Cricetulus griseus: one gene and its partners. The protein of the gene in region 2 purifies or fractionates together with the protein of the main gene of each other region. This does not show direct contact. Links are inferred from orthologs where the notes say so. Each region holds a gene or a part of one and is shown on either strand. Other genes may lie near its edges.

What was found.
Region 1: the proteins of Arid4b (region 2) and Sin3a purify together in Homo sapiens (affinity purification with mass spectrometry; 5 studies listed by BioGRID, with this or other methods). This does not show direct contact. The link is inferred for Cricetulus griseus from reciprocal best matches to the Homo sapiens genes ARID4B and SIN3A.
Region 3: the proteins of Arid4b (region 2) and Suds3 purify together in Homo sapiens (affinity purification with western blotting; 3 studies listed by BioGRID, with this or other methods). This does not show direct contact. The link is inferred for Cricetulus griseus from reciprocal best matches to the Homo sapiens genes ARID4B and SUDS3.
Region 4: the proteins of Arid4b (region 2) and Sap130 fractionate together in Homo sapiens (co-fractionation; 4 studies listed by BioGRID, with this or other methods). This does not show direct contact. The link is inferred for Cricetulus griseus from reciprocal best matches to the Homo sapiens genes ARID4B and SAP130.

The regions. Positions count from the first base shown.
Region 1 is NC_048597.1:168,624,759-168,632,953, forward strand, and holds part of Sin3a (paired amphipathic helix protein Sin3a), read left to right. Parts: coding exon 1-141; intron 142-1,887; coding exon 1,888-1,977; intron 1,978-4,063; coding exon 4,064-4,182; intron 4,183-4,821; coding exon 4,822-5,032; intron 5,033-6,045; coding exon 6,046-6,162; intron 6,163-7,967; coding exon 7,968-8,195. UniProt on the Homo sapiens protein: Acts as a transcriptional repressor. Corepressor for REST. Interacts with MXI1 to repress MYC responsive genes and antagonize MYC oncogenic activities. Also interacts with MXD1-MAX heterodimers to repress transcription by tethering SIN3A to DNA.
Region 2 is NC_048596.1:237,299,755-237,307,949, forward strand, and holds part of Arid4b (AT-rich interactive domain-containing protein 4B), read left to right. Parts: intron 1-2,299; coding exon 2,300-2,384; intron 2,385-4,919; coding exon 4,920-5,118; intron 5,119-7,623; coding exon 7,624-8,195. UniProt on the Homo sapiens protein: Acts as a transcriptional repressor. May function in the assembly and/or enzymatic activity of the Sin3A corepressor complex or in mediating interactions between the complex and other regulatory complexes.
Region 3 is NC_048597.1:97,074,220-97,082,907, forward strand, and holds the start of Suds3 (sin3 histone deacetylase corepressor complex component SDS3), read right to left. Parts: upstream 5,319-8,688; coding exon 5,070-5,318; intron 4,991-5,069; coding exon 4,912-4,990; intron 2,792-4,911; coding exon 2,722-2,791; intron 1-2,721.
Region 4 is NC_048595.1:205,646,243-205,653,372, forward strand, and holds part of Sap130 (histone deacetylase complex subunit SAP130), read right to left. Parts: intron 5,879-7,130; coding exon 5,630-5,878; intron 5,468-5,629; coding exon 5,342-5,467; intron 2,850-5,341; coding exon 2,746-2,849; intron 1,895-2,745; coding exon 1,781-1,894; intron 634-1,780; coding exon 475-633; 3' UTR 1-474. UniProt on the Homo sapiens protein: Acts as a transcriptional repressor. May function in the assembly and/or enzymatic activity of the mSin3A corepressor complex or in mediating interactions between the complex and other regulatory complexes.

The DNA of each region.
Region 1 (8,195 bases), on a different chromosome or scaffold from region 2:
GCTGAGAAGGTTGATTCTGTGAGAAATGACCATGGGGGCACTGTGAAGAAGCCCCAACTGAACAACAAGCCACAAAGGCCCAGCCAGAATGGCTGCCAGATCCGCAGACACTCTGGAGCGGGTACCACGCCTCCAGTGAAGGTGAGAGTAGACAGATAGGTGATAAGATGGTTACAGCCTGTATTTCCAGAGCACGTTAGTATAGGCCACAGAAATTCCCTCCAAAGCTTCTTAGTAGCTTTGCAAATGGCAGGTATGAAGCACACTCACCATGTGGGTCAGTGTGTGTGTGTGTGTGTGTGTGTGTGTGTGTGTGTGTGTGTGTGTGTGTGTGTGTGTTTCCAGCTTCTGTATTTTTTTCCTATATTCTCTCTCCTTTGCTGTGAGCTTCTCACTCTTTTACTTTGTTGTCAAGACTTACTAATTTCTATCATGATTTGATGTGTTAAAATTGCCTTGTATTACAGGATGATTCTTAAACTGATAAATGATAATAAATGAATGATCTCTGAGGAAATTCGACTCTTGTGAGCCTAGTGCAGATGCTTTGTATTTTCTTAGTCTTCAAGGGCTGTACTAGAGGGCAGTCTTTTGCTCCTGTTAGTGACTACTACAGTGAACACTAGTGACCTGTCAATAGAAAGCCCAGTTTGTCTCCTTGATTTAGTGTGTCTGATATAAGAAGGAAGCAGAATGTATTCATTGTTGAATTTCTCTGGGAATTCTAAACCATGTAATATGGAGTAGAGGTGTCTATAGAATTTGGTTAAAGCAAAAAAGACAGTGGAAGGTGGTGGGTGTCAAGTGGCTCCAAGGACTGACACTCTCTGAAAGGTTGTTTTGGTACTTGCAGTGTTTTCTCAGTTTTGGAATCGGGTTGAATATAGTAGTGGTTTTATTGTTTGGTTTTTTAACTTCAAAAAGTATTCTGTGGATTGCAAGAATTAGCTCAATAGCTAAGAACTCTCTCTTGGGTCTGTTTCCTTCTACACCTGATAATCCACAGGTAGAAACAGTATGCTAGTGCTTAGTTTCCACGTCCCATAGAGACAGAAGCTGCTGGCAGAGTTGGTTATTTCTTCACAGGTAGTAAGAGGTGGGTTTTTAAAAGTAAAATTTTCCTAGTGGGGTTATATTATGGCCTTTTCATTTCTGTTTGGCCTTCATTGTACCTGGTACTCAGAAGTAGTCCAGGCTAATTGTCAGCTCATGGCAACCCTCCTGCCTCAGACTAATGAGTGAAGGGATATAGACTGTGCCAGGCTCTCCCTCCCACTTTTAAAACTTTTTTTTTGTTTTTTTTTTTTTTTTTTTTTTCTTTGAGACATAGTTTCTCTATGTAGCCTTGGCTGTCCTGAAACTCACTTTGTAGACCAGGCTGGCTTTGAACTCACAGAGATTTACCTGCCTCTGCCTCCAAGTATTGGGATTTAAAGGCATGTGCCACTGCCATGTGGCTTTCAAGTTAAATTATTAATATGGCTAGGGGTTACAGTGACACCTGTCCTAGCAACACTGTGATGTGATGGGCAGGGCAGCAAAGCAGATCTTTGAGTTTGAGGACATCTAGGGCTACACAGTGACACTCTCAAAAAAAAAAAAAAAAAAAAAACATTAGCAGTATTAGTTTGAGTGGATATGCTGATAAGATGGTTATGCTGTCTACTAGACAATGAACTAATTTTTTTCCCTATGGATTTTTAAGTTGAAATAGTATAGGTTAAAGATTTATTTTTTAAACCCCAGAGTTAAAGGTTATGATAGAAATTTGTGACTGCAATCTCATTTGTTCTGATTAGTTAGTAGTAGTAGAACCATTTTAGCAAAATTAAAGAAAATTCACTCAGCATTGTATGTTTTTGTTTTATTTCTTATTTTTATTTCCAGAAAAAACCCAAACTGCTTAGTCTAAAGGAATCTTCAATGGCAGATGCCAGCAAGCATGGTGTTGGAACTGAGTCATTATTTTTTGATAAGGTAAGCAATGAGTAACATTTGATATTAGTTGTTAAGAGTAGTTATCTAGCCCGGGGCGTTGGTGGCACATGCCTTTAATCCCAGCACTTGGGAGGCAGAGGCAGGCGGATCTCTGTGAGTTTGAGGCCAGAGCGAGTGCCAGGATAGGCTCCAAAGCTACACAGAGAAACCCTGTCTCGAAAAACCAATAAAAGTCATCTAATCCCCAAGGTTTTGTTTAGGAAGTGGCAACTGATTAGGAGTTTTTAGCATTGTTTTTATTTAATCTTCGGGTTTGTTTTGTTTGAAGACAGAATCTTTCTATGTGTAACTTAGGTTAGCCTTGAACTCACCTTGTATTCCAGGCTGGCTTTCAGTTCCTCATCATTTGGAGGTGGATCTCTGTGAGTTCGAGGCCAGCCTGGTCTACAAAGCGAGTTCCAGGACAGACTCCGAAGCTACATAGTGAAATCCTATTTGGAAAAAAAAACAAAAAAACCCAAAAAATTAGTTTTCAGTGCTGTAAGTGTGTGTGTGGGAGGTTGTGTGAGAGAGAATGTTAGAACGTGCACATCAAAACAGATATCTGTCCTAATATTTTACCTTACCTGAGGCAGGGTCTTTTGTTGAGCACCACTGACAGTTTAAGGTATCTGGCCCTGGAGCTTGTAGAGGGAATTTGCTATCTCTGCCTCCCAACTCAATCCCAGTAGGTGTGCTGGAATTACAAATGTTACACTACGTCTGACTTGTCCCAACGTTTTCCTTAGACTTGCATGACAAGTGTTTTATTCATTGAGCTATCTCTCAATGTCCCGTGTTGTCAAACCCCCCCCCCCCCGTGTGTGTTTGTGTGTGTGTGTGTGCGAGCACGAGAGAGAGAGAGAGAGAGAGAAGAGAGAGAGAGAGAGAGAGAGAGAGAGAGAGAGAGAGAGAACACTTGAGCATATATATGTGTGGAGGTCAGAGGTTAGTGTTGGGTATTATCTTCAGTTGCTTCTCTGCCTTGTTTTTTTGAGAGAAGGACTCATTGAACCTAGAGCTCACAAATTGGTACACTGACTTGTCTGTAAGCTTCAGGGGTCTTCCTGTCTCTGCTTCTCGAGAGCTGGGATTACAGTTTTATATTCCTGTGCCTAGTATTTTATGTCGGTGCTGGGAGTCCAAACTCTGGTCCTCTGCTTGAGAAAGAATCCCTTTGCCATTTGAGCCATATCCTCAGGCTGTTTTTGTTGTCATTTTTAAGATTTAATTATTAGATGTGTATATGTGTGCCTTTATGAACACCCATATGCCATGAGTATATAGGTGTGGTTATGAATTACCTCATGTTTGTTGCCACCTAGTCCTGGGTCCTCTACAAGAATGGGATGCACTTTTAACCACTAAGCCATCTTTCTGCCCTCCCCCCACACCCATCAGCCTGTTTTTGTGTTTTGAGGCAAGACCTTGTTGAATCTCAGGCTGGTCTCAGGAGCAGATTGGTCTTGAACTTGGTGTGGTGCCTGCTGCCTCTGTCTTAAGAATGCTGACATTCTAAGCATTTAGGAGGAAGAAGATCCAGATTTTAAAGGCTGTCCTTGGTTATATATAGCACGTTTAGGGTTTGTCTCTGCTACATGACATCATGCCTAAAACAAAACAACATACAAAAAGTTTTATTAACAAGACTATTAAAACAGTATTGAAAAATTTCTTTCAGTATCTCTTAAGATGGACTACAGAAGCTTAGGTAATTGACTTGGTCTGAAGTAGCAAGCATATGAGAAGGTGTAGTGCATGGTCTCACATTTTAATTATAAAAAATTCTGAACACATGTAAAACTAAAGAGATAATAAAACGACCCTTTGTGCTCTTATCAAGTGTCAGTAGTTCCGTTGCCTGTTCTATGTGTTTGTTCCATATGTATTCATACTCATTTTAGATTGTTTAGAGACAGATTACATTGTCTCATTTTTTGCTTTTTAAGGTGGTTTCTTTGATCATGTCTAAATAAAATAACAGCAATTCCTTAGTAAATATCAGATTAAATTTACTCTATTAAAAAAAGAAATTGATGACCCTGACTCTCCTTGTAACCGTTTTTCTTCTGATTGTTTCCATAAGGTCCGAAAGGCTCTTCGGAGTGCAGAGGCGTATGATAACTTTCTGCGCTGTCTTGTTATATTTAACCAGGAGGTGATCTCTCGGGCTGAGCTTGTACAATTAGTCTCTCCTTTTCTGGGGTAAGTGAAGTGAGGAGCACAGCTTCTAGTACTTCTGATACGATAATGCAGAGATTGTAAAACAAAGGTAATTGAGTAGTTGTCAGAAATGACAGTGTCAGAAGGTGCCTTATAAGTCTTCTAGTATAACTTTCAGGTTGGGAAAACAGGTAGAGCTCGGCTTGGTGGCACATGCCTTTAATTCCAGCACCATAGAGGCAGAGGCAGGTGAATTCAGAATGACCTGGCTTACAGAGAGGACCACCCCCCACACCTCCCACCTCAAAAAAAAAAAAAAAGTGTTAACAGTGTATCAGCTGTGATGCGGCACTCATGGTCTCTTGATTGTCTGACCAGCACTACATGTTTATAGGCACTGATCTTCCAGGGCTCTAGAATTTTGATTATATTTGCCATCCCGGGGATTATATGAAAAGTGAGGCAATATTCTAAACAATGGCTTCTTAGCTTCTTACTGTCTTGTTGGAAAATACTACATAAGGAAAATGGAACTTAACTGGTTAAAGGATGCTTCTCAGGTAGAAAATAATTATTAACTCTGGCAGTAGAGTTGTGACCCACCATGAACTGTAATGTTGTTCCTCATAATAACTGCATCCTGCCTTGAATTGCTTACCAGCTTTTGGTTTTGTTCTTCAGGAAATTCCCTGAATTGTTTAACTGGTTTAAAAACTTTCTGGGATATAAGGAGTCTGTACATCTAGAAAGCTTTCCAAAGGAACGAGCTACAGAAGGCATTGCAATGGAGATAGACTACGCCTCTTGTAAACGACTGGGCTCTAGCTACCGAGCCCTGCCAAAAAGTTACCAGCAGCCCAAGTGTACAGGACGGACTCCTCTGTGTAAAGAGGTAAGGGTCAGCCTTGGATCTTCAGCTTCTTCAAAGCAGGGTATTGACAGATAGTACTAGGGCCAGAATTTTTTAAAGTTTTCATTTATTTTTAATATGTGTATATGTATATGAAATGTGGTCTGCTTGTGGAGATCAGAGACAACTTGTCAGTTGCTTCTCTCCTCCTACCATCTGGGTTCCCAGGATCAAATTCAGGTGGTCAGGTTTGATAGCAAGTGCCCTTATTTATCTGCTGTGAACCCTGTCTTACAAGAAAGGCCAGGATTTATATGAATTGTGAAATCATGAACCTTTTTTCAAAAGAAAATTTGTATTCAGAACTTTCCCTTACTCTATTCTTTTGTGAACTGTTTTAGTTTGGGTTTCTATTGTTCTTGATATAATACCATGCATGACCAAAGCAACTTGGGAAACCATCTATTTTATGCTTCTGTATCATTGTTCGTCACTGAAAGAAGTCAGGAGAGGAACTCAAGCAGGCCAGGAACCTAGAGGCAGGAGCTGGTGCAGAGGCCATAGAGGGGTGCTGCTTACTGGCTTGCTCAGCCTGCTTTCTTATGGAACCCAGGACCCAGCATGGAACCATACACAATGACTTGGAATCCCCTCCCCATCACTCCATTCCCAGTTAAGAGGCCTAGCTATTCTTCCACAGGTCCTTAGTTCAATTCCCAGCAACCATGTGATGGCTCACAACTATCTCTAGTGGGATCTGATGCCCTCTTCTGGCATAAAGGAGTATGTGCAGATAGGGCATGTAATTAAATAAATAAATCTTTAAAAAAAATTGAAAAATTTAAAAATTTTTCCGATCTTATAGTCTGACCTTATGGAGGCAATTTCTCAATTGAGGTTCCCTCCTTTCAACTAACTCTAGCTTGTGTCAAGCTACAAAAAAACTAACCAGGACACCAAATATTTTTTCCTCTCTATAGTATTGTCTTTTTATTGAGAATGTTTAATTACCAGTAAGTTTTAACAAGCTTTTCTGCCTCTTTTTCTACCCAAAGGTTTTAAATGATACCTGGGTTTCCTTCCCATCATGGTCTGAAGATTCCACTTTTGTTAGTTCCAAGAAGACTCAGTATGAAGAACATATTTATCGTTGTGAAGATGAACGATTTGAGGTATCCTCCTTTGTGATTTGAAGTTTGGGGAACAAGGAAGATGTGAAATGAAGGGGTATTTAAATACTCTGTGTGAGGCAGCTTAAAAAAAAAAGTGCCCTAGTGCCTGTAAGAGTTACATTTTAAAGGGGATGGCTGGGATGGGAAGATCTAGAATGAATGAATCAGCTGGTAGAGATATCCCTTATTGCAGGAAGGGAATTTCTGAAACTAGACTCAAACATCTCCAGTATTCAGATGATGTTTACTAATACCACACCAAAGGGAGTCAATTGTATTTTGCATATATGTGTTTGACTTAGTATGTTCATTACACTGTGTTGACTGGGTCTGCTTCTTCAAATCAGTGGGAGAGATCTCATACAACATTCCTCTTCAGAAGAATCACATGCTGTCTCCTCACTGACTGGTGGTTGCCATCTTTTCCCCATCTCTGTTACCGTTCTATAATTGTGATAAATCTCATTATCAAGACAACTTATAAAAGAATTGACTTGGTTTAAAGTTTGAGATGGGAGTTCATGTGGTACAGAGAAGAACTATCTGAGAGCTCACATCTTGATCCTTAACCAGGAGGCAGAGAAGAATGCCTTGAGAATCATACTAGTCTTTTGAAATCTACAGGCCCACCCCCTAGTGATAGACCTCCTCCAGTGAAACCACACCTTCTTTCCCTTCCCAGACAGTTTTCTGAGCTAGGGATTAAGAATTTAAATATATGAGCCTATTGGGGCCATCCTCATTCAAACCACCACTCCTCTAGAATTAATGGCCTGATTAGTTATTGCAGAAAACTAAATTGTATTAAGTGTTAATTTCTATGGGTAGTTGTTTGTTTGTTTGTTTTGTTTTTTTTGTTTTTCCTGTTTTTGCAACAGGGCTCTGTGTAGCCTTGGCTATCCTGGAACTCTATGTAGACCAGGCTGCCTTGATCTCAGAGATCCATCTGCCTCTGCCTCTGCCTCCGCCTCCTGAGTGCTGGGATTAATGTGAGTGCCGCCATACCCAGCTTCTAATCAAGGTGAAGAACATTTTTCGAGTTGGGTAATGTAGTGTACCTATAATCCCTGGCGAGGGGAAGGCTGAAGGAGTTTAGAATTCTTGGTCCTTCTTGGGTGCATAGACCCGTTGGACGCCAGTCTGGCTACTTGATACTCTTTTTCAAAAGGAAAGGATAATAATCCTGAATTTGTTGCCATTGGGTGTGAAGCAGTAATTTAATATTTAAATGTTTTAGACATTTAAGTTAAGACTCCTATACCCTTTAGTCCCACAGCTGTCTTTGGATTGTTTTCTTACTATTTGTAATGTGTTTGCTCAAGTGAGAAAAGTTGATAGGCCAGATATTGCGGCTCACATTTGTAATCCCAGCGTTAGGTGCCAGAGGCAAGAACTTACCACAGTCGAAGACCAGTCTGGTCTACAGAGCATGTTATGTTCTAGGTCATCCATAATTAAAACTGTGTCTAAGTACAAACAAAAGTATAAGGAAATGCATCAGTATACTAGCCTTCTTAGTCCCCCTGGCCTGTGTTTGGCAGTGCCAAGCAGTGTGTGACAGTGGTGGCTGCCGAGAAGTTCGTGTGCTTTATGACTTATGCATATGGCATTTCTTCCAGAAAACAACCTCATGAAAGTAGTATATGCCATTGTTCATATGTTACTGATGGAGAGCCTTACATGGCTTGTATAGGAACTATACAGGACTCCAATCCTGAGGAATTTGACACGCTCCTTATTCTCATAACTACTGTATTCTGGTTTCTGGCCTGAGTACCTTCTTTTTTGTTTTGTTTTGTTTTAAGCTTGATGTAGTTTTAGAGACCAATCTTGCAACAATCCGGGTTCTGGAAGCAATACAGAAAAAACTTTCCCGCTTGTCTGCTGAAGAGCAAGCTAAATTTCGCCTGGATAATACCCTTGGCGGCACGTCAGAAGTCATCCATCGGAAAGCACTCCAGAGGATATATGCTGATAAAGCAGCTGATATCATAGACGGTCTGAGGAAGAACCCCTCCATTGCTGTTCCAATT
Region 2 (8,195 bases):
TAAAAACACGGAGCTCTAAATTTTTGCGGTGTTTTAAGATATTTGAATTTCTTATAATCCCTGAGTCAAAAGCAGGGTCATCAGGCATTCAAGGTCAGTCTCATCTGTGTAGAGAATTCTGACTAGCCCATACTACATGAAATCAAATCAAAACAAGAGGTTAGCCTGACCTACAGAGCAAGTTCCTGGACAGCCAGGGGTATATAGAGAAACCCTGTCTCAAAAAAACCAAAACAACAAAAAAGTAATACTTTAAGGTGGGTATGATGGCACAAGCCTTTAGTCCTAGCACTTGGAAGGCAGAAGCAGGCAGATCTACATGAGTTTGAGGCCAGCCTGGTCTACAGACAAGTTCTAGGAGAGCCAGAGAAACTTTGTCTTCAAAAGTAACTAAATAGGCTCTTATATTAAAATCATTCACAGTATGAAAGGAGTTTATGTGTTTTGTTTTCGAAGTACACACAGCATGTGTTGTTATTCCCATTTCACAAGTTACTTGAGATTTGTTCTGTTTTTCAACTTATAATGGGTATGTGTGTGTGTATTTGGGATGTGTATACTTAAGCATCCCACAGTATGCATGTAGAAGTTAGAGAACAACGTTTTGGAGTCAGTTCTCTCTTTCCATTTTTATATGGATTCTAGAGGTTGAACTCAGTCAGTGCTCTCAGGATTGGATGTCAAGTGTTTTTTACTTGCTGAGCCATCTTGCTAGTCACTGAGACAGATTTCCCAGGCTGGACTTGAACTCCTGGGTTCAAGTGTATTTGAAACTAGGTCCAACCAATGCCCTGTTCATTCCTACAAAATTTTATTATCTCTAAGATATGTTAGATTTGGGAAGCCAACATTCTACCATTCAGGTATCCTTTGTCCCTAAGTGGATTTCTTAAAGTATAATGCAGTTTTTGATACTGCCGTGACAGGCCAAATGTGCTGTAAAAGCTATTAAATACCAAAGGAAAAGTAATAGTTGATTTGCAGCTTTCCCAAGTATGTATTTGAGCCTCAAAACCATATATGGTATGTGACTAGTAAAAGACATTGAGATGTTCCCAGCATGCATCCTATAACTGTCCCCATTTTCTCTTCTTTTATGGCCACCATCAGGTGATCCTGTGTGGAGTTGAGCCAGTAGTTTTACTGTGACCCATATAACACTTGCCTAAGGGTTACTTTAGATACTTCCAGGCCTTCTATTTGTCATAACATGAAAACACATTTAATCAAATGATGACCTGTGTAATTTATCTTTTTTTTTTTTTCCTCTAGAGGAGTGGTCCATTTTAGAGATAACATGTCTCTTTGAAACCCAGAATGGCCTGGAGCTCCTCCCTTAGCCTCCTAAGGCCTGAATTACCATATCTTGCTAATTTAATTCTTGATTTGGGACCTTTGTTACTTCTCTATAAATGCTTGTAATAATGAATTGTATTTTAAACATTTTAAGCCTTATTTTCAGGTTCCATAGTTTTAAATGTTACTGAAGGCTGGAACCATAGCTCATTGATTGAGCATTTGCCTAGTATGTGCAAGGCTGTAATTTTTAATCTCCAATACTGCAGACAGATAAGCAAACAAGCAATAACAGATTGTTACTCTTTTTATGGATTTAATTTTAGAACACAGAAAGAGATGACTGAATTAATTTCTAATGTTACTTTTTTCTAGCTTATTATTTTTACAGAAGAAATTATTCTTTTTTGGTATAAATAGCTTAATGTAATCAACAGTATTTCGTACCTTGTAAAAGTCATCACAGCTCTATTGACCCTTTAATGTCTGTAAATGTATGAAAGAAGCTTTTTAGAACACAGAAAAGTTGGCAGGATGTTTTTTAGCATTTTATCAGCAGCACTCCCTACCCTGGGTTGTTTTGCATTCTCTAAATTGTAGTAGGATGCTTTCTATCAGTGTTGCTTAACTACAACATGCTTTCTTGGCAGGTCTAGAATGGAAACAAAACAAAACACCTACTTGCTGCTTAGGAGCAAAACAAAAGTGTAGAAAAGATTGTAATTTCCCATGTACGTGTTTGGTTTCAGTAGAGCAGAGGGTAAACCTGGAGGATTTATGAGGGTTTGGTTCTGTCAGTAGCTATATTGACCTTAGGACAGTCAATTTGACTCTCTTTGATGTCTTGATTGCATACTCCTATCAGGTTGATTTAAGAGATCTCCAAGAGCCTTTGAAATTGTAAGATGTTGGGACTCAATATTTGAGCTTTCTATTTGAATATAGCATAGTTCCTTCTGAGACATGTAGCTTACATATTTATGCTCATTTCTTTTCATTTTAGATATGATGAATGGATTAAAGCAGATAAAATAGTCAGACCTGCTGACAAAAATGTACCAAAGATAAAACATCGGAAGAAAATAAAGGTAAGCCTTGATTTTACCATGCACCATTAGCTGTTAAGTGCATTTTCCTTCAAAAAAAAAAAAAAAAAAAAAAAAAAAAAAAAAGGCCAATTAAATGCATGTGCTACTCCTGATGTTATCTTCTCTTGAAACGCACTTTTACCAGATGTTAGATTTTGCTCTAATTTTGTCACCTGGTGAAAAGGTTTTAGGAACAGTGCTAACTGATATTGGAGGCCTTTTCATTCTCAACATTGTATAAAACTGTATGACAAAATTTATCCATTTAAACCTTTCCTGTCTCTTGTAGTTCCCAACTAGGAGCCATCATGCATTGCAGGTAGGGGATGTGAGTTGTAAGTAGATGTAAGGTGAGGAGAGGAGATGTCTAAAGATAGAGGAGAGTATCTCTTCATCTATATCTGACTGGCTACTGGGTCAGAATGTTTTCAGCACCCTCTTCACCACACACTGCATAGCTACTATAGTATCTATGTTCTCATATGTGAAACTGTACTACTAACATGATAGGATTATTACTAATTATGAGATAAATATTTTAAATATTTTATTAAAAAACCCGGCCATTAACATCTTTTTCTTTTTGTTTTTTGGTTTTTCGAGACAGGGTTTCTCTGTATTGTTTTGGAGTCTGTCTTGGAACTTGCTCTGTAGACCAGGCTGGCCTTGAACTCACAGAGATCTGCCTGCCTCTGCCTCTGGAGTGCTGAGATTAAAGGCGTGCGCCACCAACGCCCCGCAAAATTTTAATCTTTTTAAGAAGGTTTTTTATACTTTGTGTGTAGTTCACATGCTTAGTAGTGGTTCTGAAGTCTTCTTAGTCCAATGAAACATTGTTATGTTCCTGTTTAGAGACCCCTTGTGGTCTCAGATGCTGAATTTATTTATCTTGTTGGCAATCCTTTTATCACTGTAAACTTGAGTCTAAGTTTCTAGTACAGTACTCCAGTACCTAAAGCTCAGGATTTCTTAAACCCTTTACATTTTTTGTTGGTCCTTATTGGAAAGTATGTAAATTATGCTATATTTAGCATTGTTTTTAGTAACTGGAAGAACATTTGCTAAATGTTTGTTAAAAATTCATGTCTTTGTACAAAGCAAGCTTTGGAATAGCATTGCTGAGTAGATGAGTCAGAGAAACAATGTTTGGGTCATGCACATGAAATGTTCTATGAATGTCTGTCTCTGTCCACTGCTTGGTACTAAACTAAACATGTTAAAATTCTTGGTCATAAGGAAAGAGGCTTGAGAACTATAAGTTTTTTAAAGTTTTATTATGCATTACTCTTTGGTATTGCCCCTCCCTCCCTCCCTCCTTCCCTCCTTCCCTCCTTCTCTCCTTCCCTCCTTCCCTCCTTCCTTCTCCCTCCCTCCCTTCCTCCCTCCCTCCCTCCTCCCTCCCTCCCAGTTTTCTTTAAGAGCCCTTGTTGGAGAAACTCATTTGACAGCCACTAAAAAATATATTTGAACTTAGACTGAAGTGAATTGTTTCAGCCTTTGGTGCACATGGTACATTGTGATTTCTGAGATCAAGTCATGAAATGCTGAAATGATGGGAGTAACAGTAGACATAGGCTGTGGTAGTCTACCTGCCCTTTTAAAGATGTTCTATAAGTTAGGCCCAGTCCCTTGATCCTTATTATTGAAACATGTACCAGATAACATGGAGAACACATTAAAACAGGCTGTCTGGTTCCATTGTCAGCATTTTGATTCATCTTGTTTTTAGGGGTCTGCTTTTCTAGCAAGTTCTCAGAAATTGCTGGCTAAGGACCCCACTTGGAGAACAGCCGCTACCCAAATTTTAACTGTTACATGTAAGGGAGTATTTTTCCCATGTACTATCTTTTAGAGACTTGTGAAAATAATCACTCATGTTTTCAGTCTGTCTATGTAATAGGACTTAAGAATTTTTGTTGCTAAGTCATACTGTGAAGAGCCTAAATTGCAAAACAACAAAAAACATTGCTTATAGGAATTACCTTAGCCTTGACTCATTTGTTTGTTAACTGAGCGTGAGAAAAGTATCAGCCTTTGAGTGAGGTAGGAAGGCTGCCTCTGAGCTCACTTCACAGCCTGTCAATGCATGTAATTTCTCCTGTAAATTTCAAAGTACAGAACTTGGCTATTGTACTTTACAGTGAGAATGTTCAATTTTAATATGAGTGTTGAAATTGAGTGTTTAATTTTATAAATATTAAATTTGGATCTATTATTTAATTTTCAAGAATTTGTAGCAGTTATTAGCAATACTCAGTTCCTACTCTTAGTCATCTTTTCTGTTTGATCCCTACTGCTAGACTGTAAATACAGAACAATTTTTTCATCTCAGTGTTTTCATGAATAACCTAAAATAAACCTGATTATTTTGAAGTTTTTCTTTTTGCATTTTCTGGTATTCTTTCTCAGTTAAACATTTAATAATATTAATAATAATAATAGGCATTTGATGTTTCTTTAAAATAGAATGAATATTGTTACTAATAAGTTGTTCATAATACATTATAGCTAATATCTAATGCTTTACTTACCTAGAATAAATTAGACAAAGAAAAAGACAAAGATGAAAAATACTCTCCAAAGAACTGTAAACTTCGACGTTTGTCAAAACCACCGTTTCAGTCAAATCCATCTCCTGAGATGGTTTCAAAACTAGACCTTGCTGATGCCAAAAACTCCGATACAGCTCATATTAAATCTATAGAAATTACTTCCATTCTTAATGGACTACAAGGTAAATATAACTGTTGCATGCAAGTATTTGATTTTAATTTCTATAAATATTTAAATGAATTTAAATGTGGTTGTGCATGACTGTAATTCCAGTACTCAGAGCTGAGGCAGGGGGATTGAGAGTTGAGGCTAACCTGAGTAATAAATCAAGAGAGTGTCTCAAAAAAATCCACGTATTCCTACCTCCTGCCACCCAGAAAAAATTCCAAAAGTTAAATTCTATAAAAGTAGTTCAGGTTGGTTTTTTGACCAGAATTTGCTGTGTGTGTTATTAGTTGGGCACCTCCAGTGTTGGGTTTCTCTACTTCTTGTCAAACACTGTCCTTTGTGATGCTGTCTAAAACATAGTTGTGCTGTGTATTAAGACTGTAAAGCAATTCTGAAAGTTATTTGTGAAGAACTCATCTGCTTGTTTGTTCTTTTTATGATGCTGTTATGGTAGCACACATGGTAATAGTGAAGCAAATAGTAACAGAGAACTGGGCTGGAGAGATGACTTTGTAGTTAAAAGCACTTGTTGCTCTGGCATAGTCCTGAGTTCAATCTCCAGCCCCCACATGACACCTCATTAACCATCTAGCTCCAGAGTGGAGGGGATCTGACACCCTCTTCTGAACTCCACGGGCATCAGGCAAACGTTTGGTGTGTGTACACACACATACATCCAGGCTAAACATTCATCCATATAAAATACTAAATAAACTATATCTAAAAAGCTTTGAGAATTGGAGATTATTAAATCTGGCATGAAAATGTATTGGAACAGGGATCTGATCTACAAAGTAAATTAATTCCTTTCCCTAAAAATATTTTAAACTGCTCATAACTTAAGTTTTGGTTTTTATTACTTTTGACTATAATAGAAATTAGATTTTCTCCTTTATTTCAGAAGACTGTATATGGATTCATTATATAAGCCTGCTACTATATACTATTCTAAAGTTTGCCTTAAAAGTTTTCTAATGTATCTGACATGTAGACTACTATATGAAAAAATATAGTTTAAAGAACAAGAATTAGACAACTTTAGTCACGAGCAGGTAGCAGTTAATTAGGTGTGCCTCCTCAGGAGTTATTACTACCTTAACTTTATGTAACATTTTTTTAAAAAGTAGGATTTAATTATTTATGAGTATACTCCTAAATAAGATATTGTTTATTTTAAAAACAATAGTGAACATTTAATGTAAGCCTCAATTTATGAGAAAGCTTAGGTTGAGGTTGCCTTTAATGCTGTTGGGGCCAAATGTAGTGCACACCTTTAATTCCAGTACTCAGGAGGCAGAGGCAGGCAGTCTCTTGAGAGTTTCTGGCCAGCCTGGTCTACAGAGTGAGTTCTTGGCCAGCTGAAGCTACACAGAGACTTGTCTGATCAGATTCTCTAGGTTATATTCTGATTTCAGAGTGTGCTTTATTAGAGAAAGATTTGTTGTAATACCTTCTTTGGAGAGGTAGGTGGTTCATTCTAGAATGATTAGCTGGCTAGAAGGCAGAGGAAGTGGGTCTTCACTGCACATAGTGAGTTCCAGGATAGCCAGGAGTACATAGAGAGACCCTATCTTGCCCCTACCTGCATTCCGTCCTCCTACCCCCACCCCAATATTGGGAATGGGAGGGCAATCTTGAGGAAGAATTATCTTGAGGAAAAATGTTGTTTTTGACTTGGCTGGATAGAAAGAATCAAGAGCTGTTCTCTAATATAGGTTTTGGATTTTTTGTTGTTGTTGTTGTTAAATTGAGGATTTCCTTGTCCTGAATACTCAGTAAAAATATTTTTTAAGGATTTATTTTATGTGTGTGTGTGTGTTTTGCCTGCATGTATGTATTTGTACCAAGTACCTGGTACTTACAGAGGTCAAAACATTGGTTGGACCCCTTGGAATCGATGTTAGAGATGGTTTTGAGCCACCGTGTGCATGCTGGGGGACTTAGGTCCTTTACAAAAGCAACAAATACTTTTAATTGCTGAACCATCTCTGCAGCCCTCCATAGTCTCATTTTGATGACAATGTTTTCTAGTACTTTAAGAGCAAGTACAAGAAAATGGCAAATTTCCTAGTTGTATTCACTTGAAAAAGTTTCTGTTCTAGTTACAGGTTTTTTGTTTTGTTTTTGTTTTGTTTTTTTTTTTTTTAAGTCTGTTTTTCACTAGTTTACCAAATGCTACAGCCTGGATAGAACACAAAAAGAAAAGGATTTTTATTTCTTGCATTGAGGGCATTGAGCAGCCCTCTGTGGTGAGAGCATCACAACAGTGGTAAGTCATGCAATAGCTAATCCACTACTGTGAAAAGGACATCAGTCTGTTCATGACATAGGCACTTCTTAAAGTTCCCACTTTGCCAGTATTGTCATAGTGTCAGTTAAGTTTCAGCTTCAGTTTTGAAGAAGACATTTAAATCCTAGCATCTAGGATAGAAGTTTTTCTTTCCATTTTTGTTTGTTTGAGGCAGACATAAACAATAGTCTTACTAGGCTTATTACTCCCCACCCTCTTATTTTTTAGCTTCTGAAAGTTCTGCTGAAGAAAGTGAGCAGGAAGACGAGAGGGGTGCTCAGGACGTAGACAACAGTGGCAGAGACGAATCAAAGGTAGACCATTTGACCCACACCAGAAACGAGCTTATTTCAAAAGAGGAACAGAGTAGTCCATCTTTGCTAGAAGAAAACAAAGTCCACACAGATTTGGTAATAGCTAAAACAAAATCTCCAGAACGATTAAGAAAAGATGTGGAAGGATTATCAGAAGATACTGATTTTGAAGAAGATGATGAAATCACAAAAAAGAGAAAGGATGTTAAGAAAGACACAACAGATAAATCTTTAAAGCCACAAACAAAACGAGGAAAAAGAAGATATTGTAATACAGAAGAATGCTTGCAGACTGGATCCCCTGGAAAGAAGGAAGACAGAACCAAGAGCAAAGAGCTGCTTTGCACAGAAAACAGTAGTAATAGCTCCTCAGATGAAGATGAAGAAGAAAAGTCCAAAGCAAAGATGACACCAACCAAGAAATATAATGGCTTGGAGGAAAAGAGAAAATCCCTACGGACAACTAGTTTCTATTCAGGATTTTCA
Region 3 (8,688 bases), on a different chromosome or scaffold from region 2:
TCTACAGCCAACCTTGGTTGTCACTATAAAGCTTCTGCATTTTCAGGATCAGAAACACAATGCCAACTGAGGCTCAAAAGTTAAAATGAAGGATGGCTGTGCAGCCCCAGGTGGGCAGAGCACAGACACACTGAGCAATGTGACCTCTTCTTCTCAACACTCACACAGAGGTGTTACAGGCAACCACACACACTAACAAGTCTGTCTGAGCTGTGAGTCCCGGGCTGGGGTGATACTTTTGCCTCGACATGGAAAACGCCCCCAACTTCCCAGTGATAAACAGCAACAACAAAGGCTTAAGAGAACACCCTTCAAACAAGACCTTTTCATTCCTCAAGAAGACTGGCAAATGCAAGACACCTCTTTTCAGAACAGTGACAGGCCTGAGGGCCCCATCCCAACCCCTCTATCATGACAAACCCTAATGAGCTCATATTCATCACGACTAAGAGTGTTCAGCTTTCATCACAATGGCTGCCTAGCTTAGTAAGCATGAAGGAGACAAGATCAAGCAAAGCATCTCTGAAACTGCTGCTGAGGAGGCTGGAGAGGTGGCTCAGGGGTTAAGAGCACTGGCTGCCCTTCCAGAGGACAGGGTTCAGTTCCTGCCCCTATGTGGCAGAAGACAGCAGTCTGTAACTCCAGTTCCACGGGATCCAATGCCCTCTTCTGGCCTCCTAGGGCACTGCAAATGTGGTACACAACATGCAGGTAAAACACCCATACACAAAAAAGAAAAATAAATGGATCTTTATTAAAAAAAACAAAAACAAACAAACAAAAAAAAACTGTTTCTGAAACATGATAAGGACAAGAGGTAGATGGGGAGATGCCCAGAAGGCATGTGTCTGAGAAGTCTGTGGAACCCAAGCCCCACTACACAGAGGGAGTAGCCAATTCTTGCCACTGAGCCCTCTCAGAAATGGAATGCTTGCAGAATGATAAAGGAAGGGGAGCGGGGACGACACCAGATCCATTGTGATCACATCCTAGAAGAGTCTGTGACAACCCATTTCAAACAAGCCACCAGATGCCACCAGTAAAAAGCTGGCAAAGTAGAAAGGCCAGGCAGAGTTCCGGGACACAACTGAGAATACACATGTATGAATTATTCATGTAACCTTGTTTCAGCACTGACCACACCTGGCAGAGTTGCTCCTTTGGGTTCAAAAGCTAGAAAATGTCAGATTCCAGAGGTGGCCAAGCACATTGTTTAAAGGAGACTCTGGGGGTCAGAAACGTGGACCACCTGCCCTATAGGAGCGGAAGGGTCCCAAGACAGACCCAACAGGGTCTCAAGATAGATCCAACAGGGCCTCAAAATAGAGCCAATCACCACTTTCTAAAAACTGGGCTAATGCCTCACAACCTGTAATCCAGCACTCAGGAGTATGAAGCAGAAGGGTTGTGATGAGTTCAGGGCACCCCTGGGTGACAAAATGATTTCCAGATAACTTTGAACCATGGAGTGATACCCTCTGGCTAACTCATCTTTCCTGGACACAGATAAAGTTTGGGGCAGAACAGTGGCAGGCACCTGTAGCCCCAGCTCTGTGGGTGGCTGATGCAGAAGGACAACTGGAGCCCAAAAGTTTGAGACCAGTGTGGCAACATGGCAAGAGCCAGGTTTGTTTCTTGTTGGCGGTTGCTAGTATTTTTCTTTTTCTTTCTTTCTTTCTTTCTTTCTTTCTTTCTTTCTTTCTTTTTTCTTTTCTTTTTTTTTTTTTTTTTTTTTTTTTTTGGTTTTTTCAAAACAGGGTTTCGCCGGGCATTGGTGGCGCACGCCTTTAATCCCACACTTGGGAGGCAGAGGCAGACGGATCTCTGTGAGTTCGAGACCAGCCTGGTCTACAAGAGCTAGTTCCAGGACAGACTCCAAAGCCACAGAGAAACCCTGTCTCGAAAAACCAAAAAAAAAAAAAAAAAAAAAAAAAAAAATCAAAACAGGGTTTCTCTGTATTGTTTTGGAGTCTGTCCTGGAACTAGCTCTATAGACCAGGCTGGCCTGGAACTCACAGAGATCCTCCTGCCTCTGCCACTAACACCAGGCTCATGTTTTTCTTTATTTTAACAAAACAAAAAACAGAAAAGAAAGAAAGAAAGAAAGAAAGGAAGGAAGGAAGGAAGGAAGGAAGGAAGGAAGGAAGGAAGGAAGAAAAAAAGAAAAAGAGCAAAGCCAGGTGTGGCGGTGCACACCTTTAATCCCAGCACCCTGTGAGCTGGAGGCTAGCCTGGTCTCAAAATCATTTCCCCCACTCCACCCAAAAAAAGCACACAGGGCTTTAGTTTCTCTGGGCGCATGTGACCATGGCTGAAGACAAAGGAGGGGCTTAAGTGAGGATGTGTGAGAGCAAACAGAACGGATGGCAGGAAGAGTTCAAAGAATGCTCCAACCCCAGCTTTCCTGAATTCTCAGGACACCTAGAGTATTGCCAACAATATGCAGCCTAGGGGCCTGCAAGATACCCATTTCTCTGGGCACCAGCTTTCAAATCAGATCTATGATGGCCTCATCACACCCCCTCCCCCATTATTTCAATCATGGCTCTTGCTAGCATACCGGCAGAAGAGCCCATAACAGGTGAAGACTCTTAGATGTGACCAGGGGGGGAGATTATGAGGAAATGTGAGCTTTGCAAACACTAAGGTCACAATCAGGGTCTCTATGAAGACTGAATCGACTCTGTATTCCAGAGGGAAAAGGCATAAAGCCGGACTCACTGCTCCTTCATCTCCACGTAGTCTTCCTCATCGTGCTTCGCCAGGTCTGTCTCACTGGCGTCCTCAGTGTCTGCGTGAAATGAGGGAAGAAATGACGGCTGAGATCAAAAGTCACAGAACTGGTATCGTGACAGCATAATTAATGGGCATCTGGGAGAATAATAAATTTCTACCCACTTCGGGTCTGCATGAACCTACTAGCAAAAATAAGTGCAGTAAATGTGGTTAAAACAAAGAAGAAAATGCCAATGCCTTTTGCATCTTGGATTTATGCTGAGTATCTGCTTTTGTTTGACATACAATCAGGAAGAGGTCACAGCAGACAGGCAGACCTGATGGAGGCCACACAGCAATGGTGTGCAGAGAGGACCTGGGTGCGTACATGCCCATCCCACCACACATTAGATATAAACGGTAAAAAGGAGGCCGTCCCCACAGCAAATTCAGTTCTAAAAACTGATATGTTTTCAAAGTTAACAGATTAAAAAAAGGGAGGTGGGGAGGAAAGAAGATCATTTTTAAAAAATTGTCCAAGCCAGGTGATGGTGGCACTTGCCTTTAATCTCAGCACTCTGGAGGCAGGGACATGTGGGTCTCTGTTAGTTCGAGGCCAGCCTGGTCTACATAGCTAGTTCCAAGACAGTTAGGGCTGTCACACTGAGAAACCCTATCTCAAAAAACCAAACAAACAAGCAAACAAACAAATGAATAAATAAAATTGAAAAATTGATCCAAAACTTGCATGGCCAAAAATAGGGGCTGGAGGCGTGGCTTAGTACAGTTAAGAAAGCTGTTCTTTGCAGAGGATAGGGATTGGTTCCCCAACATCCACATCAAATGGTTTATACTGTCCAGTAACTCCAGTTCCAGGAAATCTGGCACCCTCTTCTGGTTTCAAAGGGCAACTGTACATACGTGGTGCATATAAACTCAGACACATAGACATACACATAAACAAAAATTAATTAACTAAAAAAACATTTTCAATTATATTTATTTCGTTTTATGTATATGAATGCTTCATCTGCATGTGGGTGCACCACTTAACTTGCCTGGTACCCACAGAGGTCAGCAGGCACTAGAGCCCTTGGAGCTGGAGTTGCATATAGACAGTGCGCGAGATCAAAACCCGGATCCTCTGAAAAAAATCAGCAAGCGCCCTAAACGGATGAACCATTTCTATAGGCCCCCATATATAACAACAACAACAACAATAATAATAATAATAACAACAATAATAATAATTTAAACAGGTCTTGAGCAAATAGGTGAATCCAATAGCCCCTACATCCAAGGGGATCAAATTTTGTCTTCACATCGCCCCCTCGTGGTCATTAAAAGCAATGCAGCGTTTCACATTTCGAAATCCCTGGTTTAAAAGCCTTGCCTTCAGTTAAACCAAAAGCAATCAGTTCCTTCAACTTTCTGCTCCGCGAACGCCGCTTTTTTTTTTTGGGGGGGGGGGTCGGGAGACACTTTCACAGAGGTCCTGTCTAGAGCCAGTCAGCTATGTCCCTTAGAACTAGAGAGACTAAGAGGAGCAAGACGATACTCCTAGCAGACAGTTGAAGTAGCTTTTGCTTTTTACAGCCCGACTTTGTGCCAGAATCCTACACTCCACTCAAAGGCCTCCCCGGTTCCCCTCCGTCTCCACCTCTCTACCTAGCTTCTCCCCCACTTAGCTGGCTCCTTCCTCAGTAAACAAAGTCCAGACTGAGAAGTGAAGACCCGAGGAGCGATAACGCAGATGCAAAACACTCGGGGACTGAAGACGAATCCCGACCTCCCCCCACTCCCATGCTTCCACTTCACAGAGGCAGAGCGGATTTCATTTAACCTACCCAGGAAGTGAGGACTCCATACTACCCTGCAAGTAGGTGGGTAAACAAGCCGCTGGGCAGCTTAAGGCCACAAAAGCCGGGGTGGGTGCCAGCCACACGAATACTTACACCCGGCTGGTTCCAGGTCCCCAAGTGGAGCTAGGGGGTTAAGCATTTCGAGGAGAGACGCTGGGCATCACTGAGACCCAAGTGCACTCCGAAGTATGACTTTCTCCCCCGCCACCCAGAAAGGAGCTCAGACACCGAACGGGAACACAATCTTAAAGGGACCCCTGGTTCTCAAGAGCTCTGGCGACTTCTGCCCCCTGCCCCCTAGGCCCCCGGGCTCCGATCCCAGCCCGGGCCGCACCTTCGTCGGACTCGCGGCCCCGGCAGCTGCGCTCGTCGTCCTCGGCGCTCTCCAGCTCCTCGCTCGTCGCTCGGGCCGCCTATGTGTCCCGCGGAGATCGCGGCCGCCTGGCTGCGCCCCGGACGGCCCCCACCTCGCGGAGCCACAGCCGCGGACACCCGGTGCCCCTTGGTGCCGAGCTCCGCCCCCGGCGCCCGCGCTGGGCAACGGGGGCCTCGCGCGGACGGCCACTTCCGGGTCGGAGGCTGCCCGGAGACAGCCTGATCCCGCCATCCTCGAGGCGAGGGGTGAGACGCCGGGCTCCACGTTCTCTCACAAAGCAGCGCCTCCTTCATCGTCGTCTTTAGAATGCTCGATCGGCCGGCCACGGGGGAGGGGCGAAGGGAGGTGTCGCTGAAGTCAGGCATATCCGTGGGCAGCCCTGCCTGCGGTCAGGACCCCGAGGTTGGGAGGACACTTCCGGAGACGGCCGCCAGGCGGCGCCCGGAGTCAAAACTAAAGTGTGTGTGGAGATGGAAGCGACCTGATGGGCGGAGGCTTTGCAAAGCCCTGAATGGGTGGCAAGGTCTGTTATTCAAGCAGATGAACGAAATCAACAGTTCCTTTGGTGGGTGTGGAAGCCTAGATAGCCAGAGTGTGTGTGATACAGAAAATGAGGAGTCTGCTTCCACCCTTGCCTTAATGGGGCTTAAGAATTAAAGGCAAGTTGCTGCCATTCCGTCCCCGAGTCCAGTGAACCTATGTGTCCAGTGTACCCAGGCCTCCCTCGTGCTTCCTTTTGAATAGATTTACCGGGTAAGCTGTTTTCCTGATTTGACAAATGATCAAAGAGCTATCATTCTCCATAAAAAAAAAAAAAATAAGAAAAAACGGTGGCATCAGTTTAGAATTACATAGCCAGGCTGCCCATGGGACTGCTGCCTCCTGTTTCCTCGAATATAATTTCTAAGGTACTTTTGCCTAACCCAGTAACTAGTTAACCTGCTCATTTTCAAGTGAGCAAATAAAGCATTTCCCTACAGGAAATACGTTGGCTAAAATTCAAAAGCCAACGCTGGGCATAGAGGCGCACTGTTGTAGTACCAGCACAGGGCAGGCAGATCTCTGAGTTCGAGGCCAGCCTGGTCTACAAAAGGAGTTCCAGGACAGCCTGGGCCATACAGAGAAATCCTGAATTGAGAACAAACACAAAAAGGCAAGAAGACAGAGTTTCTGCATTTGTTAATTTGCCTGGCTGTGTACCTCACCCCACCCCACCGCCCCAAAAGGGAAACGCAGTATTACAGTTTTGCTTTAAATTAAAAAAAAAAAAAAAGCCTGTCAGTGGTGGTGCAGGCCTTTAATTCCCAGGACTCAGGAGGCAGAGGCAGGTGGATCTCTATGTGGCCAGCCTTGTCTACAAAGCAAGTTCCAGGACAGGCTCCAAAGCGACACAGAGAAACATTGTCTAGAAAAACCTAAATAAATAAATAAAAGTGGGCTCTGCTTAGTGGGTCAAGACTATAATCCCAGCTACTCTTGAAAATAAAAGCAGGAGGGACAGCAAGATCAAGGTCAGCCAGCTTAGTGAGACCATATCTGAAAACAAAATAAAAACAAGGGCCATGGATGCTGCTGGGTAGAACACTTGCCTGGTATGCTGGAAACCCTAGCTTCAATTCCTAATGCGGGGAGGTGGGGATGATGTGGCCACAGTAACACCATTCAGTTGACTCAAATCTGCACTGAAAAACGGAAGAAGTAACAAATCCAGGCAGACGAGAATGCAGTGAAAGGCAGGGTGGAACCCAATACACAGTCTTTCTGATTCTCACAGCCTTTGTGATCAAATTTATTAAATTGGCCCCAGAGAGACTTCTAAAATGGAGAACACTTGTTTTGGGTCCCATTCATTCTGACATCTCCCATTTACTACCTTGTTTTAATTAAGTCTTGGTTCTCTTTGTAAGAGATATTTCCTCTGTGTAAAATGCAAGAATTTCCAGAATGCAATGCTGGATGCGTTTCCCAGAAGTCCCAGGATCTGAAACCCCTTCCCAGTAAGAAGAGTCTTTCTTCAAGCTCATCCTCAGTAGAGGTTTGCAGAGGGGTCTCTCCTGCAGAGGATGAGGTCAGTGTGTGTGTGTGTGTGTGTGTGTGTGTGTGTGTGTGTGTGTGTGTGTGTGTGTGTGTGTGTGTGTGTGTGTGTGTATCCACCCGCTGTTGGAGTTGGATCACCTCTACTATCTTAACTCCACGTTGAGGGACTGGAGCTCCCATTAGTAATGCTATTCACAAAGCAAAGGGGGGAAAATGAAGGGCAACATTTTTGAAATCAGAATTCATTGATACAATGAATCAAAAAGTAGTTGGTTTTGTTACTAAATGGTTACAAGAAGCTGGGCCCTTCTCTTGTAATCTTGCTTGCTTTTATTTCTGTCTCCCTGATTGCTTGTCCTTCGTTAATAGTCATGGGTTTCTGTTGTATGTGTATAACAAAGACACAAACCTGGGTGATGACAGTTACCCCTTTTCTTCCATGGAGACAGCAGAGCTGGCCCAATGAGCAATTTATGTATTAAATGCTCTTCTGGAACAGGGAAACTACATTTTAAAAACCCTTTGTGACTTTAGGCTTGGCCAACTTTTATTCTTTTATTTATCTATTTATTTATTTGTTCCATAAGCCAACTTTGCCTATAAAGCCTAAGTTTTCTTCAAAATCAAGTTTCACCCCTTAAAGTCCACCACTGCTTCTCTCCCTAATATGGTACTCAGTCAGTCTGCTTAGTAAATACCTACCTCAGAGTTTGACCTGAAACTCAAACCCTGGAGCCCTGTGTTCACAACTTCAGGCCTTCTCAGGAAGCCTCTGTGTTCCCACCATCCAGATTTTAAGGGTGCCCAGTGGTTGGGATGAAGTTTGATTTGCAAACAAAGTTTAGTATGCAAATTTGGGAAAAGAGCAGTTTTATGACATGCTTTTTTAAAAAGGGGGAGGGGTAAGTGTGGTGGCCACCACACATCAGGGACAGGCAGATAGATCTCTGAGTCCAAGGCCAAACTATCTACGCAGAGTTCTAGGGCTACACAGTGAGACCCAATCTTAGATAAACAAATAAATAAGAAAAAAAAAGTTTGTAGAGCATTTACTTAGCGATAAGGCGTGTCTACGTCTGCCAAGGCCTAGGGTGAAAATGTGCCCCTGCAGAAAGCTATTTTGAGCTTCTACCGTTAACTGAAGCAACACAGCCATTTCCACAAAAATATGAGACTGGTCCTGGTGCACTTTAATCCCTGGCAAACACTATGCTTCAGCGTGGCTCAGGACGGATCCAGGTTATTGCAGGGTGCACTTGGGGTCAGAACTCAGTGTCCTTCCACCTTTGGTTCCTGAAAGCCTGTGGCCCTGAAAGAGGTTCAACTGAATATGCTTGCTGGAACCTTGCCAAAGTTAACGGGGTTCCCTACCCCAGATCCTTGTACAACAATAATAATCAAAACTCACGAAATGATTATTTCTTTTTTCACTTTTTTTTTCTTCTGTGACAGGGTCTAGCTATCTACCCCAGGTTGAACTCAAACTTGAGGCGATCTTCCTGCCTCTGCCTGCAGAGTTATTAGTTATTGGTGTTCACATCACATCGCGCCACGAATGGAAAGACTTGACTTTTCAAAATGTGTCCAGACCGCGTTAAGTACTTAGCTGTATAGAGTGTTTATCTGGTCTACAGTTTTTTGGGTTTTGCTTTTTTTTTTTTCTCTCCTTTCCATCAGTAAACTGACGTCCACTGAACG
Region 4 (7,130 bases), on a different chromosome or scaffold from region 2:
GATGTGGCAGCTCTCCGGGTGCTGTGGCACCACTGTAGGCCAATTTGGAAACTGGACGGTCAAACTGAAGAACTGACTGGAGTGAGAAGAGGTTTTCTGTTTAGTCTAGAGAGATAACAGATTGTCCAAGTGGATACTTTCAGTCCAGGCTCAGTTCAGGCCCTGCAGGAATCCACCAGATAAATACAGCCTATGGACTGGAAGGCTGAAAACTCAGCTGGCCATTTGTGTCACCGAGTATCGGGAGTTGCTGAAGACAGAGGTGTAACAGGCATGTACCTGGAGGAAGGAGGGCTCACCATGCCAGTCCAGCTCTGACCTTTCTGTGCCATCAACTCTGCTTCCTCAAGTAAATGAAGAAAACTGTCCCGCATTTCAATGCTCCATTGTGAAAGTAGTCAAAGCCCTCTCCCCCTCCCCCCTCAAATCATTATTCTTCATAAATTCTGTTTCCAAGTCCTGATTCTTCTGGGTCTACACCTTTTCCTTTCGCTTCAATTTTGACACTTTCTTGACAGTCCCGTTCTTGTTGAGGAGCTTCAGGACCCTATCTTTGTGATCCAAAACCTTAAGCATAGAGTCTCTGGCTTCGCTGATTTGGTCCATCACTAGTTTACACCTCTGCATGTTTCCCTGGAAGAGAAGGCACACTATTACCTGGCTGTCATGGGAATGAAACAGCTTTTAGAGGCCTGTTCACTCAGAGAACAGAGAACAAGGCTGACTATACTATCCCTTTGAGTTCTTGGCCAGGGAGGCCTGAGGCCCCACTAGAACTAATTTGTGGGACCTTATTGCTGCATGTTTTGGTAAAAGGACAAAGGGAAATCAAGATGGACATGGATTTTCTTCTTGCTGGCCAGCCCTTATTGTGTTGAGAGAATTGTTATCAATAGTCTTAAGTCTTACTTAAGTCTTACTTATCTTGTAGTCCCTGTGTGCATTACCAACTGGCCAGGCAAAATGAACTTATTGGTGCAATGGTGGCCAGTCTGCTATAAAGGTAAAGGACTCCTTCTGATTGGATTTGTGGTGGCTCCACAGAAGGAAATCCATTTCTGACTCCATAAATCTGAGTAGACGCCTGTGGCTGGGGAGGTCATAGGCTCACTGGTAAGGAGCACATATTTTTGTATACACCCACCCATGCTCCTTGAAAACAACTCTAATGAAACTCAAGGGGTTACTGGAAAAAAAAAGACATTAATGTAGAAAGAAGACTAATTAGAAAGAAGAAAGAATCAGTGAGAGGGAGACAAAAGAAAATAACACTTAAAAAAGGTGAAAAAAGGGGCTGGAGAGATAGCTCAGCAGCTACGGGTGTTTGCTGTTCTTTAAGAGGAACTGAATTGGGTTCCCAGTCATGTAGGTGTTCACAACTGTTTGTAATTTCAGTTCCAGGGGATCCAACACTGTCTTCTGGTCTCTGCATACACCTGCATGTGTGTGGCATAAAATATAGGTATATCAGGGGATCCAACACCCTCTTCTGGTCTCTGCATACACTTGCATGTGTGTGGCATAAAATATACGTATATAAAACCAGAAAATAAAGTAAATAAAATGGTTGAGCACCTCCTGGTAATGCATACTGAAGTAAGTAAGTTTGTACAAAAACACTCTTGCAGTGGGGAAAGGAATATGGGAGGGTTTGGAGAGAGGAAAGGAAAGACAGAAATGTTGCAATTAAAATTCAACCCAAGTAAATAGACAGATGAAGGAAAAAGAAGAGATGCTTTCGTGACCAAGTGGTACTCAGAAGGCTGAGGACTCATCAAACCTGTATCAGCTCATTTATTCGATGTAGATCATCATCTGTTGCTGCTTTTTTCTTTGGGATAATTCCTTCCTGTAGGTTGGTAAGTCTCTCATAAACATCATGTTCTAGGTTTGTCTGCAACACACAAGAGGGAGCACACTGTGACTCCAGGCATGGTGGGAGGCAGGCTTTGTAGAGAAGACCCCTGCCTGCTCTCCAAAGCAAGATGGCACAGGTCTGAGCCCTAAGAGGAGCTGGTAGGTCACTGAGCCTGTTACTTGGTGAGAAACAAACCGTGTGGTGGCCAATGGTGAAGGAACTGCTAAAGAAGAACCTTCTTGAGGAAGCAGAGTGCTTAGGAAAAGAGGCTCATGGGAAGACCACTTAGCTCCCCTCTTTTCATATGTCCTGACAGGACATAATATTCAACTTTAACTTCAGGTCATTTTTTTTTGTTTGTTTGTTTTTTTTGAGACAGGGTTTCTCTGTGTAGCTTTGGGGCCTATCCTGGCACTCGCTCTGGAGACCAGGCTGGCCTTGAACTCAGAGATCCGCCTGCCTCTGCCTCCCAAGTGCTGGGATTAAAGGCGTGCAGCACCAACGCCGGGATAACTTCAGGTCTTACACTACAGCACTTTCATATATTTTGGATCCAGGTAATTAGAACTAAAATTCAGGCCTGGATAGATGGCTCGGTGAGTTAAGACACTTGCTCCCAAGCATCATAATCTGAGTTTGATCCCCTAGGACTCATATAGTAGGAGAGAAACTACTCCCAAAGGCTGTCCTCTGACCCACCTCCATCAAATAAATAATTACCATCTAATAGATCTACTTGCTTTAATTGTGACATCACAGGCCTATGTGCCTTTATCACCCCACTTTAGGCAGCTCTGGGGATCAAACCCAGGGCCTGTGGTACATCAGGCTGGCTACCTACTGGGCTCCCTCTTTTGGCATGACACAAGTGACAGAACTGTACCTACCAGTTGCAGTAACTGGGCAGCACAGAGGTGGACTTTCCAGCCTTGGGCACGGCAGGACACTCCCTTCTGATTAGCTATTTCTTGTAGCATAGCTTTCTTCTCCTCTGGAACCACATACAAATAAAATTAAGTATTACTCCATTTGTTATAAAAGCAAACTCATTTGGGTTCAAAGAGTTTACGTGTCAATATTTTATCAGAATTTCTTTCCTCAAACATCTTTATAAGTAAGTCTTCTGCATTTACATCAGGGGGAAGAGGGGCCAACCATATGTGTAACATTTTTTCAGACAGGGTTTCAACATGTAGCCCGTCTGGCCAGAAACTTGCTGTGTAGACCAGGCTGACCTCACTCACACGCTTCTCCTTCCTGAGCACTGGAATTAAAGGAGGCACCATTATACCAGCTTCTTTTCTGTGTTTTCATCAGTTCCACGAGAGAGCTTTTAAGTCATATTCTGCTAACCGGAGCTAGCAGGACAGCTAGCTCCTATGGTAATCTTGCAGAGGAGAAATGGTCTTCTGGGAAAGAGACCCTTGTTCTATGTGTGGGGCTTATGTGCAGCCAGAGAGCTGGACTAGAAATTCTGGAAGCTTTTTGGAGAGTTACCTATAATTTAAGAGAATTACCAAGTGGGGATTCTTTTTTTTTTTTTTTTTTTTTTTTGGAGACAGGGTTTCTCTGTGTAGCCCTGGCTGTCCTGGAACTCACTCTCTAGACCAGGCTGTTCTGGAACTCACAGAGAACCCTCTACCTCTGCCTCCTGAGTACAAGGATTAAAGGCGTGTGCCACCACCATCAGCTTTTTTTGGGTGGTGGTGGTGGTTGTATTTCTAATGTGAGAAGAGAGATTTAGATACACAGTAACCGGGCAGCACAGAGGTAGAGTTTCTTGTCTTGGGCACAAAGGGACAGTCCTTTCTGAGTATCTATTTCCTGTAGTATGCTATTCTTATCTGAAACCATATGTAAATAAACATAACTATAAATAAAATGAATATGATGTTATCACCAAGACTGGGAGGCACAGATTAGGTTTGAGGGCTGTCTGTAAAAAGGTGAGTTTAGTCTTATTTGCTCTGTAATAGGCCTTCTAGCTGGACTGTACAGTTTCATAGGGGAAGCTGCTGGAGGGTTATCAATCAGGTTGTGCTAGAGCTTCGGACTTTGTTTTGAGGTGAACCTACTTTGTTCTACAAACTGTATTCATTAAAAATTTATTTAATTGGAAAATATTAAAACACCAGTATCCCCCTGCAGGCCTTGAAATGCTATGTAGCTAAGGTTGACCTTGAACTCTTGATTCTCTTACCTCTGCTTCCTGAGTCCTAGGATTGCAGATACATGCTACTGTTTGCTTTTATGTAGTACTGGGAACTGATCCTAGGGATTCTTGCAGGTTAGGCAAGTACTCTACCGACTGAGCTCTATCTCTAACCCAGGCTGGTCTATAACTTACTAGAAGCCCAGGCTGGCTTTCAATTCATAATCTTTCTCAGTTTCCCAAGCACTGGGATTAAGCATGTACTACCATATCTTGTCCTTTCACCTGCAGTGGTGCACACACATACAACACCAATACTAGGAAGGCAGAGGCAGAAAGATCACAAGCTCAAGGCGAGTCTGGAATATATAGCAAGGGAGTGTTTCAAACCAAGTTCTGTTATTACCCAGGGCCTTGCACATACTATACAATTTACTATTAATCTGCATCAACAACTTTGTGTCTTCTCTTTTTTCTTTTCAGCTTTGTTAAGAGCTTTTTCAGAGAATGATTTTGTGTGTTTGGGTGTATTTACTTTTTTTGTTTTTTTTTTTGGTTTTTTGAGACAGGGTTTCTCTGTGGCTTTGGAGGCTGTCCTGGAACTAGCTCTTGCAGACCAGGCTGGTCTCAAACTCACAGAGATCCGCCTGCCTCTGCCTCCCGAGTGCTGGGACTAAAGGCATGTACCACCAACACCCTGCTGTTTTTACTTTCTTTCTTACCACATTTGTCCCTGGTGTCCAGGGAGGCCAGAAGGCAGCACTGGAATTCCTGGAACTGGAGTCAACTAATTATCTAATTGTAAGCTACCGTGTACCTGCTGAGAACTGAACTGAGGTCTTTTACAAAAGCAACCAGTGATCTTAACCACTGAGTCATCTCCTTAGTCTCTCCCCTAGGTCATTTTAAGTGTTTCATGTATGTGTTGAATGGAAGATCTTTTGGAAACAAATACCTATAGTGTACATAATCATTTTAGCATCCTAGAAATTATAATGCACTCTGTCTACGTTAAACTGCAATACAATTACGGGCTCCCTGTGAGTACTTGGGGGAACCAAGGAGGTTAATGAATCAGTACTCAGGGAACTGTTAACACACAGAACTTATTATAACTAAGGCTTCTCCTTGTTCATTTCACTGGGATTCCAATAAACACACAGCTTTCTGGGAACAAAGAATACTTCTCCACTGTTATACTCAACTGTATATTGCATATTTTGGTTGGAAATCAGAGAACTGTGATCCTAATACTTTTTATTGTGACTACAATAGAGCTTACATGTTATGCCATTTCATGATTAATACTAGACATTTCTAAGGAAACTAACCTTTGACCCGGACATCACTGTACCTCTGGAAGTGGTGGTAAGCAGCTTTCCAGGGGTTCCGATAGTGACGAAGCAAAGTGATGGGAGGTCTTGGTCGCACTGGGACATATCTCACCCCTTCTTCATCTATTCCAATGAGAAAACAGGAGGGCATTAAGTGGCATGTTAGGTATCTTAAATAATCCTCAACATTCAATTGCAGTGAGTGAGACACAAATGAAACTGATGCTCTGAGATGGACCTGATTAGGTGGTAAGAGCCAGGTGACGATCAGCCAGGTGGCCTTACCAATGTACTCTTTGGGCGGAGACTTTCGTTTCTCAGCCTTCACCAGAAGACTTTTGGCAGTGGACTTCTCATCATCAGTGCTGTTTGTCTCCATCATATCCCCTTCTTCTGTTGAGATCACATGCTGCTGCTTTCGAGGCTTTTTCCTTGGGGAGGCACCAGGTGGTAGGTCACTTGTAGGCATGGACAGGTTGCTTGCCAGCAAAGCCAGAGATGGAGACACAGTGTTGGTAGCCAGAGGAGGGACTGCTGTTGGGGGTGAAGCACACACACCAGTGAGAACCAAATATTGGAAAGCTTCCCTCAATTTCCAGGATAACAATTATGAAGACAGCTGGCTGGCTAACAAGTACAGAGGTTTCTTATGGGCCTGGCAGTATATAAAATCCTCTTAGGCAGGAGTTGTGAGCTGCTTCCTACTATCTACCAGGCACTGAGAAACTTAGCGCTATTCTGAACTAGTGTGGACCATATAGCAAGGGCTTCCCAATTGCACAGGTTCACCTGAATTTTCTTTTTCTTTCTTTTCTTTTCTTTTTTTTTTTTTTTCTGGTTTTCGAGATAGGGTTTCTCTGTGGCTTTGGAGGCTGTCCTGGAACTAGCTCTTGTAGACCAGGCTGGTCTCGATTTCACAGAGATCCACCTGCCTCTGCCTCCCTGAATTTTCATTTTTATTCTACCTTACATGAACAGGTTTCCTATATTTAGCTACTGTTACTCACTTCTAACAGTCATATCCTATATATCACTGTTACTAATAACTGCAAACTGCCTCACATCTATCTTAATCACTAACTCTCCAGGAATTTCCATTGAGTAGTGGCTTCTAGCAAGCCTTGGACCTCACAAAGAACTATTGCCTATTAGCCCTCCCATTGGCTGTCCTAGAATTGATTCTGTAGATCAGGCTGGCTTTGAAGATCCCTTTGCTTCTGCCTCCCAAGTGCTGGGAAAAACTGTGTGTGCCACCACTGCCTGGCTTAAGATCCCAACTTTTTATTTCACTGTTTGTCCTGTGACCACTCTCTTTTATCATTCTTCCAACAAAGGCTGACTGCTTCAGTCGTCTCTGATGCACTGTTGGAAGGAGAGGGTCACTCCACCCAAATGGAAAGAACTTAAGTGATTTCCTAGAATAAAACCCTTTGATTCTCCACAGCCTCAAGAATATACTCAGGACAAAGCCGTTTGTACCTGTAAACTATTAAAAGACTAATTTTTTATTTTTCCTTTTTTAAAAATTAGCTGGCATTACAGACAGTGAGCCACTGGACCAGATTTCTGTACCCCAGTGAATAATAATAATAATAATAATAATAATAATAATAATAATAATAATAATCTCTTCTATCTGTACTGATTTAATTGAAAGCAGAGCCGTTCAGCTGCTTGTGCTATGTGTGTCTGTCTTTATTCCAGGGAGGGAGCAGCCTTATATACAGACTTAGGACACAGTGGAAAAATCCCAGGTGTAAGAGCTTATGTTTTTGATGACAGCGGG